Schizosaccharomyces pombe: one gene and its partners. Each later gene encodes a partner of the first gene's protein in a complex. Each region holds a gene or a part of one and is shown in the gene's direction. Other genes may lie near its edges. The genes, in order: mrpl1, mrpl31 and mrpl28.

Evidence for each region.
Region 2: mrpl1 (region 1) and mrpl31 share a complex: the UniProt entries of both Schizosaccharomyces pombe proteins name them as parts of the mitochondrial large ribosomal subunit.
Region 3: mrpl1 (region 1) and mrpl28 share a complex: the UniProt entries of both Schizosaccharomyces pombe proteins name them as parts of the mitochondrial large ribosomal subunit.

What each region holds. Positions count from the first base shown.
Region 1 is NC_003424.3:1,790,885-1,794,597, reverse strand, and holds mrpl1 (mitochondrial 54S ribosomal protein uL1m), read left to right. Parts: upstream 1-2,146; 5' UTR 2,147-2,354; coding exon 2,355-3,116; 3' UTR 3,117-3,198; downstream 3,199-3,713. Other genes in the region: poly(A)-binding protein Crp79, read left to right, coding at 1-9, 101-575, 647-2,005; protein saf5, read right to left, coding at 3,320-3,713. UniProt on the Schizosaccharomyces pombe protein: Component of the mitochondrial ribosome (mitoribosome), a dedicated translation machinery responsible for the synthesis of mitochondrial genome-encoded proteins, including at least some of the essential transmembrane subunits of the mitochondrial respiratory chain.
Region 2 is NC_003421.2:886,474-889,844, forward strand, and holds mrpl31 (mitochondrial 54S ribosomal protein mL60), read left to right. Parts: upstream 1-2,112; 5' UTR 2,113-2,384; coding exon 2,385-2,732; 3' UTR 2,733-2,822; downstream 2,823-3,371. Other genes in the region: TIM23 translocase complex subunit Tim23, read right to left, coding at 1-260; oca8 (cytochrome b5), read right to left, coding at 933-1,082, 1,169-1,260, 1,767-1,914; ubiquitin hydrolase Ubp1, read right to left, coding at 2,964-3,371. UniProt on the Schizosaccharomyces pombe protein: Component of the mitochondrial ribosome (mitoribosome), a dedicated translation machinery responsible for the synthesis of mitochondrial genome-encoded proteins, including at least some of the essential transmembrane subunits of the mitochondrial respiratory chain.
Region 3 is NC_003424.3:2,667,794-2,670,967, forward strand, and holds mrpl28 (mitochondrial 54S ribosomal protein mL40), read left to right. Parts: upstream 1-1,857; 5' UTR 1,858-2,019; coding exon 2,020-2,376; 3' UTR 2,377-2,575; downstream 2,576-3,174. Other genes in the region: mrps12 (mitochondrial 37S ribosomal protein uS12m), read right to left, coding at 541-1,029; Brix domain-containing protein Rpf1, read right to left, coding at 2,736-3,174. UniProt on the Schizosaccharomyces pombe protein: Involved in mitochondrial genome encoded proteins translation.

The sequences.
Region 1 (3,713 bases):
AAGAAAATTGTAAGTGACTGAAGGGAAAAATTAGAGACAAGCATTACAGAAAAAAAAATCGAAAAATCATTCTCCAAAAAATTACTAACCTAAAAAAAAGGACCATTAAAGCAAGAGTCGTAAATCCTGCGAAACTGACAGACAAAAAATTCAAACCTAACGATACGTCAATCACTGCGAACGTGTTCAATCCTAGCATCCAAAACAATACAGATGAGGAAAACGTTAAGCCAGGACTCAAACAGTCTCAGATTAAGGAATTTATTCCAAATGTCGAAGAAAGAAATTGGGAAACTGTGAGAGGCATAAATTCGCGTAACCCGAAGCCAGAAACAACGCTTACCATACCGTCTCTTGGTTTGGAAGATATTAGCATGCAAGTTGTACCAAATGCCTTCGCTTCTACGTTACCCCTTAGTATCTTGAACCTACCTGCCGAAGTCACACCGATTGACTTATATAACCACTTTAAACAGGCTGGTGTAGTAAAAGGGACGGCGGTCAGCCAGTTTCTTGACCAAAGAGGGTTCCGGTATGGCGAAGTGATTATGGATTCAGTTGAATCATGTCAAAATGTAAGCTCAATATGAAGAGAAAACCCCAATATTTGCATAATCTATTTCATGATACTAACCTCATTATTAAGGCAATAGAAAAATTAAATAACGTTCCATACAAAGGAAGCATTTTAGAGGTCAGTATAAAAAATAAAGCCTCTTCTTCAGTGAAGTCAATTCCCACAACGCCGACTGGTGAAAGCTTATGGCCTTTCCCATCGGAAAACGCTAACAAAACTCAAATAAATATCGAAAATGCTACATGTTCGAAGATGACATGGATTATGGGCTCACCAACTAAGGAGAAAAGCCAATGGGGTAGCGTTTCAACTACCGGTGTTTCAAATCAGCAAAATCATCCAGCCGCTTGGAACCCAGATAATAAACCTCAGTCAATCGTGCATTGGGACTCTTTACGTGAAAGCTCTCCAAGTATCCCTAATTCTCCTATTGACCCTTCAAATCTATACGTTAAAAATTTAGATGATACCGTCATCACATGCAAGAGTCAGCTGGAAGATTTATTCTCACCCTTCGGGTCGATTTTGTCTTCCATGTTAGCATGCTATCCAAATTCAGGAATCTCCAAAGGTTATGGTTTCGTAGCGTTTCGTCAAATAGAGGCTGCCGTTAGAGCCAAAGACACATTGAATGGAATGATGGTTGGGAAAAAAAGGATTTTCGTTTGCTTCGCGGAGCGAAAGTCTGACAGAATTCGTAGATTGCAAGCATTTTTTGCAAACAAACCTACTTCAGAACAAACAGCGCAGCAAGACAACAAAGCTTTGTTCGTCAAACCAGAAAGAAGCTCTACTGTTACCATCCGAAAGCCAATAGAGTCTTCTACAAACAAAATCTCTGAGAATCCCACGACCCTTTCAAGTAAGGTTGAAAATAAGAATGAGCCTAAGACTGGTGAAAACAAAGAACCCAGTCAGACAAATGAATATGTTAACTGTAAGCAAGAAAATAAGGAACTTAGTGGACAGTTATCAGGCAACTTGGATATAAAGAAAGAAGCAGGAAAATTGAGCCATGACGGAGAACAAGGAAACTTGTTAAAACCATTGGTATTCCATGCTAACACAAAACTAAATAACCGAGGGTCTGCTAAGATGGGTTCAACAGCCACCAACTTGAAGAAGATACAAGACATGCTTCACAACAAAAAGCTGAGTAATGCATACTTTGTGCCAAGAGCAAGAGCAACAACCTGTACAACTCTTACGTACGTAACAGTTGAGCCCTCACATTTCCAAGATGAGGACTGTAATGAGTCAACGAACATGCTTTCACTTGTCGGGTACATGGACAGCTATCCAGAAGCTACATCCAATATCCAAAAAATGAATTCCTATCATATTAAAGATTCAAATAAGGAAAATTTTTTATCAACAACAAAGGTTAACAACAATTCACCAACAACTATTCAGTTGACGCAGATTTAACAAGATGCGGTGAAGATATAACTATGAAACAAAATTCATAATGCTATATCCCTCAAAACTCCGATGAACAAACTTTTAACTCCTTAAAATATATACATCGTGAACGGATGGATTTGCTAGTATAACCCTACAGTATCTTACAACTACCACAACGTGGAATTTAAACGAAACCGTTTATTTTTAGTCTTTAATCAAAAACATTATAAGGAAATTTGATTTGAAAGATAATTCTTTATTAATTCGAAAGTTGACAGCTGGATCAGATTTGTTTAGAGATTTATGATTTTAGCAGGTTCATTGACTGACATCCAGTAGCTTGGTGACAGTTTGACGAACCAGATTAAAAACCATGAGTTCATTAATAGCGTTAGGTAAACGGCAAACATTATTGTCACATAATGAATTTTTAAATTTTAAAAATCAAAAGGGTTTCTGCAAAAGGTTTATTTCTCAACTAAACAAGAAATCCAATTTTCCCGCTCTTGCGATGACAGTTCCTGAAGCCACAAAATATCTCAAATCTGTGAGCATTTCTGTTCCATATGTTGGGTCTTATATGCTTTCAATTGCTTTAAAAAGTAATCGACGCGCTCCGTCAGCTCGTGGTCAAATTGCCTTTCCTCATCCATTTCAAGAGCCTCCTAAAATTTGTGTGTTTGCTAAAGGTGCAGCTGCAGATGAAGCTTTAAAATTGGGTGCAACCTATGTTGGTGCAGAAGACTTAGTAAAAAAAATTCAAACAGAGCCCCTTGAATTTTCAAAGTGCTTTGCTCATCCCAACTCGGCAGAATTACTACCACAAGTTGCTAAATTATTAGGATCAAAACGTCTTATGCCTTCAATAAAACGAGGTACTATATCAGATGAATTGAAGCCACTCATTGAATCTGCCCTCACAGCTGTTGACTATCGGCAAAATGATGCAGGCTCGATAAATTTGCCGGTTGGAAAACTAGGGTTCAGCGACAAGGAGCTACAAGAAAACATCGAAGCACTTGTATCAAATGTTCGGTTTACTTTGGCCAAACTGCCTGGAAAAGTTAAAGTTACCGTAAAGCATGTTCATCTTTCCGCCTCACATGCTATTGCAATTCCTCTCCAGTATAAATAATGATTAAAATGTTATTGCATGGGAAATTTAGTCTACAGTCTTGTCATTTGTAATATGTATTACATGATTAATTTTGTACAAATTAGTGAAATGTGTAATGATATTTTATCTAGTAAATTTAGAAGCCTGTTTATATTTATTTATTATCATAAACTACTTTTTAAAAAGTATGAATGAAACGTTAGAATACAACATTATGAAAGTTACTCTGTGCGATGCCATTTCAGAACAGGCGATTCCGGAGAATCAAATCTGTTATCACAAGCTGAGGTATCTACGTTTTCAGCCGTAACCCACTGGTGATTTGGATCAAAAAATAAGGACATAGGGTTTCCCATACTCGCGTTTTCAACATCATTATCTGAGGAAAAAGTGTCCGGATGTAGAGATTGGCAAGTACAAAGAGCCTGGTAACATGAATCAACATCAGTAACATATAATGTTAGTTCTAAAAAATCATCTGTGAATTCATTTTCATCTTCGGTAGAAGGAGCTTCATGCAATGTTCCTGACGACCGTTCAAATTTAAGAATGTGATCTAGCAAGGGTCGAATGGCTTCACCCTCTAATTGAACATATACATATGGCTTATCCTTG
Region 2 (3,371 bases), on another chromosome or scaffold:
GTACCGTAACAAAGATCATCTTGCCATCCGCGAGATGGGATAGCCATGCTATCGCCTGGAAGAGTAGAAAGAGCATCTTCCTCAATCAATAAGTAATCCAGAGGTTTATCTAAATCAGCGAGGGGATGTAACTTGGCGGGATCGAATTCAGAACCCGATAAAATATCTGAGGCTGTAGCCTCGGTAGGGACCTGCAATTCAGAAGAATCAATCTTTGAGGTTGGTTCCTCTTCTTTATTTCTTGTAAACAACCAAGACATATCTTAAAAAGTTGATTTTTCGCAAAGGCGCGATGGTGGTTGTCTGCAGGTAGCGGTGGTTACAGGAACTGTGTATTAGCACCTAAATTAAAATAGTAGAAAAAAATTGTTGAGACGTAAAAAGTGTCGCAATTATCATGAATTTACATTTATATATAAAAAAAAAGACTTAATGAATAAATCCTCGATCGTTAAATAACGCCCGAACTTATTTACTCGATCACCGCTTAAAATTCTAGACAAGTTGGGCATAGGTCCATCGATAAAACAATAGAATAGAAGAAACTATAAAACTTTTTTTTATGAGAGAACAAACAACGAAAATACAAAAAATATAACACTAAGTATTATCAATTATACAGTTACGCAAAGCAAGCATAAGACCGTTGTGAATTAAATTTACGTCCAGACAAATCAAAGGTCTCTATTAATATTAATATGCCATTCACATTAAGAGCCAAACCAAAGCGTGTTAAAGGAATACATTGAATCCGTAAATATCCTAAGTACGAACAGGTAAAGAAAGCTAAAGTAGATATCTAACAACAACAAAAAACGAAACTTGCTAGCTCAAAATCACAAAACCATATTCAGCACATTTAAACGACCCAAAACGAAAGAAGGCCTTTAAATTTCTTTGAGCGCAAAAGTAAGACTGGGAATTTAAGCAGTCTATTTGAGGACATACTTGCGAAAAGCAAAGTAAGCAACAACCATCACAAGGACAAAGAGCCACATAGCAGGCTTAACTGGTTGAGAAGAATCATATCCACTTCCACCAGCGGCAGCACCAGTTGTGGGAAGCTGAGGGCCATCTTCAGTCTAAAATATGTTAGAGTGTCGAAGCAAATTTTTACAAAAATTTTAACGAGCCTATGGCGAACGAAGAGAAAAAATAAATGACATACTCTGAGCAAGTTTCCAATGTAAAATTTTTCGAGCAACTCCTGAGCATCCTCAGAGTGACCAACATCCTCGAAAGGACCGCTAGCATCACGACCTAAAACAAGTTAATAATCACAGAAACGAACAAAAAAAAGCCCCTAGCGATGGTAGAGAAAGGCAGAAACTTTGTATAGCCAATCCAAAAGCCGTATGTGAAGAATCGAAGCGATATCGTCAATCAATCTTTCCAAAATTATGTATTTCAGTGTATTCAGAGTACTGGAAATACAAAACATCGAGTAGAGAGCGATCAATCTTGGAACATATAGACTGTACTTAACAATTCACCTTCAATGACAATGTCGCATTAAACATCGTATTTATTCAGGATATCGCATCTATTTTTGTACGTTCCTACGGCAAAGATTCGTCCTGAATCTTTCAAATTAAAGAACATGTGTATATGCGACACCTAAACTCTCGTGAAATTCAAAGTTTTGTAACGCTAGTTGTCTGAAACTTCGATTTCTACGACTCCACACAATCGCGACCAATTTTTATGCATTACAACCAATCTTCCTCAAGACCTCCATTATCGCGTACCCCTAAAAATTTACTTACCGGCCAAATCAACAAGAACCTCTTCACCACCAGGGTGAGCGTCAAGGAACTTGGAAATATCATACACCTTGTCTTTTACAACAATGTACAAATCATCACGAGTGTTATGTTTTAACACTTCTTCAACAGTAATTGTCTTCTCTGCCATGATCAAGTTCTGCTTATTCTTCCTTAAAGGTGGTATTTAACGGTTATAACCCAGGAGCTAATTACTCTCGAGATGTTGGTTGCAAATGCCCTATCGCGATTTATCTAGCAGGTGGGAAGTAGAAATGAGCCGATTCTTACTGGCAGGTGGTCACGTGGATTCGAGTTGGAAGGTACACCCAAGGATATGAACTTACCCAAAACCTATATCATTCTTCAGTTAACCAACTCCACCATTTTGGAGGTGTAGTGTTTATATTTGAATGGCAATATAATATTTAAATCAATTTAGGACGCTAATCAAGTTAATTTTTGTTCACATCTTTGCTGTTTCGTTGGAGCCGTAAACTACTTTGTGACAAACCATCAACTACTCAGAATTTGTCTATCACCCAAAAACTTAACAAAAAATTTTTATTTGCTCTTTTTGATCCAACCTTCTTCCTCTCCTTTTGATTTTATACGAAAAATATGCTGGGTGCATTTAACTCGACTTTGGCTCGCTTTGGCGGTCTTGTTCATAAAGTACCTTGGAGATTATCCCAGCGAAGAAAATATCGTCACCGTCAACGACTTCGTGCCGTCGATGAGGTGGTAGATGTTTTGCGCACGGCGTTGCAAGAGAAAAATCAATCGTGCAAACGAATTGAAAGTTTCGTTGCTAACCATCAGCCTGAATCCCAAATGTCACCAAAGGATAAATACACTATGTTTACCAGGAAGACTCAAGGTGCCGGTCTCCAAGGCTTCCGCAAGGGTGTCCATAAATCACCAAAATGGACCCGTAGTACTAATCGTGTTAATCCCACTGGCTTTTAAAAACGTCTGGTTGCAAAAGTTTACTACTTTTTTTTTCATAATTTTAATGCTCTATGAATAATAAATGTAATGGATTATTTTAATAGCTTATTTTATTACTTTTTTATTGCAAAAACTCCCACCTCTTCCTCGTCTTCGTTCATATTCAATTTCCAGTTTCATACATATTCAAACAAACGACATTAGCCTTTAGTTAGAGTAAAGTTCATATCACCTCTATTATACGTCTCTTTAATTCTTTGCTCTGTAAAACAATACATAAGCAGACGATGTGACAATATCCTCCGGATCTATTTCACAAATAGCTGTATCATCAAACTTAAAGAATGTTTGGCTCGATGCATCTCTTGCATAGGCAGTATAATGACCATTACTCATAAACCCGTGATGATTGTCCACTGCATACAAATCGTAAAGCATCGATTTCTGTGACGATAGCCACTCATGATCTTTTATAAATGGACTCAAAAATTGCTTCAAATTGAGATCAAATACTGGATAAACTACTAAATCCCTTCGTTTACGTCTTCTCCGCAAATCTCCACCGTGGCCGCTGAATCGATTTAAATGAATGACTAGTATTTTTGGCAATCGCCAGATCTCCAGCCGTTTTGTTGCCGGTCGAAATGCCTTACACCC
Region 3 (3,174 bases), 880 kb from region 1:
AAAAATTAAATAGCACGGTAGTAAAACCAAATTGAACAAATTAAAAATTGAAAGCGTCTCAAGTTTAAAATTTATTTAAAGAGCTTATATCAAAAAAGTAGAAAACTTTCCAAAAGGATTTCTCAAAAGAAAATCCTCCTCATTTTAATAAATCATTGTTTAGATAGATTTGGTTAAATTTTAACCAAAAGGATTATCTATTTGCTAATTTTTTAGATAACTGGAAATTGCCTAATTACACAATCTTTTTTACCTTTTTTTGATGATTGTATGTTTAAAGGGGATGTAGTTCAACTAAAAAATTGCTTATTAAACATGCAAGAGTAAATGATTATTGAATATGTATAGTTGCAACAAGAAGCAAGGTTGCGAGAAATGACAAATGGGTTGACTCAACTTTTTTCTCATTTAAATTTTTGTTTCAGTCATTTTAATAAGGTCCTTGTGAATCGATATCAAAAGAGGAGGTGGAATAATTATAAAGATAACGTTTCTGAATATCATGGTTTTCGAAAAAGAAAGTCTTTGAGGTCATGAAGTTTAGGCTGCTTTCGGTTTTTTTACTCCATACTTGCTTCGGGATGTGACACGTCCCGCTACACCAGCAATGTCATAGACACCCCGAACAACATGATATTGGACTCCTGGACAATCCTGTGCTCTGCCGCCTCTTAACAATACCACAGCATGCTCCTGTGCATTATGACCGATACCTGGAATGTAAGCAGTAACAGAACGGCCGGTTGAAAGGCGTACACGGGCAACCTTTCTTACTGCCGAATTAGGTTTTTTGGGTTTTACTGTAAAGACCCTCGTGCACACACCCCGTCGAAACGGACTTCCCTCTAAAGCAACAGATTGCTTATTTGTTTTTTCAGGACGTTTCTCTTTATTTCTTATCGTTTGATTTAATGTCTTTAACATAACTGAAGAGCTAGAAAACGCTTGAGCCTGAAATGGTGAAATAACTGTTGGCTTCATCAACCTTGAAATTACCGGATATCGAGCATATTGAGCAAAACGGATCATTATTTGGGGAAATTTAATATTTGAGCTGTATAAAATCTCAAAAATCACTATAATAGATGCTTGAGCAAGGAATTCCGAAGTTTGTACCCGAACGTCGCTGGTTTGGTGTTAGTGTATGTATATTGCCTTGGAATAGAATATCTCGCAGCATTCATATTATTCGATGGGATACAAAAATTTATTCTTTTATATTTTGACAAACATTTTTGGGTATAACTAGCGTATTAAATATTTTTTCCTCTAGGAATTGAACTTTAATGGACTAGTCTAAAACAGATGCAGAATGTAGGTATGCTAATCGACAAATTTACAGTACAGTGTTAAGCTGAAAAAATCAACTTAATTCATGACTTCTACTGAAAAACGTACTGGAAGTAGATTGTATTGAGGTTTAAGCTTCGTTTTGCCATGCCATTTTCAGTTGATGATAGTATTTATTACAATAACTTATCCATTCATTAAAACTTTAAACACTGATATGGATTTATCAATGTGTTTGACTACTTACATGAAACTTAGCAGAAAAATTGAGCATCAGGCCTACTCCATATAAAGCTTTGACTTAAAACTTAATATTTTCTACTTGTTAAATGTCTTCGTTTGGTTACATATCTCCATAAATGCATATGCTTTGTTTGGCTTAGCTACTGAAAATTCAGAAACAATTAAATGAACTCCGAATTATAATCTATATTTTTTTTATCAGTGTGTGAAATTGAAGGGGATTTGATGAAACACTTCTTTTTTTGAAATATCGTACTGGTGGCTTTTCCTAGTGTATCACGACTTACTCTCTTAATTAGCTTCATACCACTGAACACGTTTACTACTACCGCATTTTTCTCTACTCAGGTTTTTTAGCTTTTAAAGGAAGGTTTTATGTTAATACTTTTGAAAATTAAATTTTTTTCTATCAACGTGAAAAAATTCAAGGAGTACTTTAGTTTGTGTTGAAAAGTTTTTTGGCAGATGCGTTCTACGTTACAATTAATGGCTAAGGCCTCAAAGGGAAAGCACCAATCTGGTCCTTCTAATCATAGTGAGTCAATCGATTTGGTTAGAAAAGCTCTTTACGGAAATAAAAAAGTCAGGTCTTTGAAAATGAATCCAGACATGTGGGAAAAACACGAAGTTATTAATCGCGCTTGGCGTATACACGAATATCGACAAGAAAAACAAAGAGAGAATCTTCTAAAAAACCAATTCTCTGCAATGAAAATTGCTTGCGAGGAACTGAAGCATACGAGTGAAACATTATATAAAGCCGCAATGAGCGATTCAATTAACAGGAGGTTCCCCGTAGAAACGAGGACTCCTACGGACACACCACCACGGCTTTCTAAATAGGCGAGCGCCTTTTATGAGTATAATTAATATCTTCGGTAGTGCTCGAAAGTGTTATAGACAAGTTCAAGTATATAAAAAAATGTATCACTAATTACGAGCAAGTATAATCTAATTAGGATTTTTAAATAAACCAATAATTGAATTAAAGAATTATGTCTCCTAGTTTCTAGTCTACATGTATCATATTATTCATTCCCAATTTCACCGTAAACGAATGATACAAAATGAAAGGCCATGCTTTCTTTTTTAACCAAAAATTTAGAATTGTTACCAAACCCAAACCCTACCTCGAAAACAATAAAATATGACCCAAACACTGTTTTCTTTTTACAACGTGTCGCAGATGAGACAAAATGTCTTTAAAGCCAGAATTTACGTCTATCTGATTCTTCACCGGCATTGCTCTCGAAGAAAACCTCCCCTTCTTTCCTATCCCATACTCCTTTTTGAACCATACGAAGACGCATGGTAAATCGAGGACCTAATTCTTGTAGCCCAGTTCCAATACCATCTGGCATATTCGATTTTTCACGAAATGCATAACGGTGTCTTCGAAAAAAAAGAAAATCTCTTTGACAATGGATGGTAACAACTTGTCGCCCTTGAATTTGAGGCGTTTGAATAAATAATGATTGAAAGGCTCGAGCAACAGTCATACCAAGTCTCGTTGAGAAATTGTTGATTATCAGTTCTGGAATATGACCAGTGGAGCGGCCATGATTTGAAATTTCCTTTGCTGTTTGGAGATTCGATAAGGTAAAATAGAACGAAGGGCCATTCGGTAAGTGTACAAGGGTT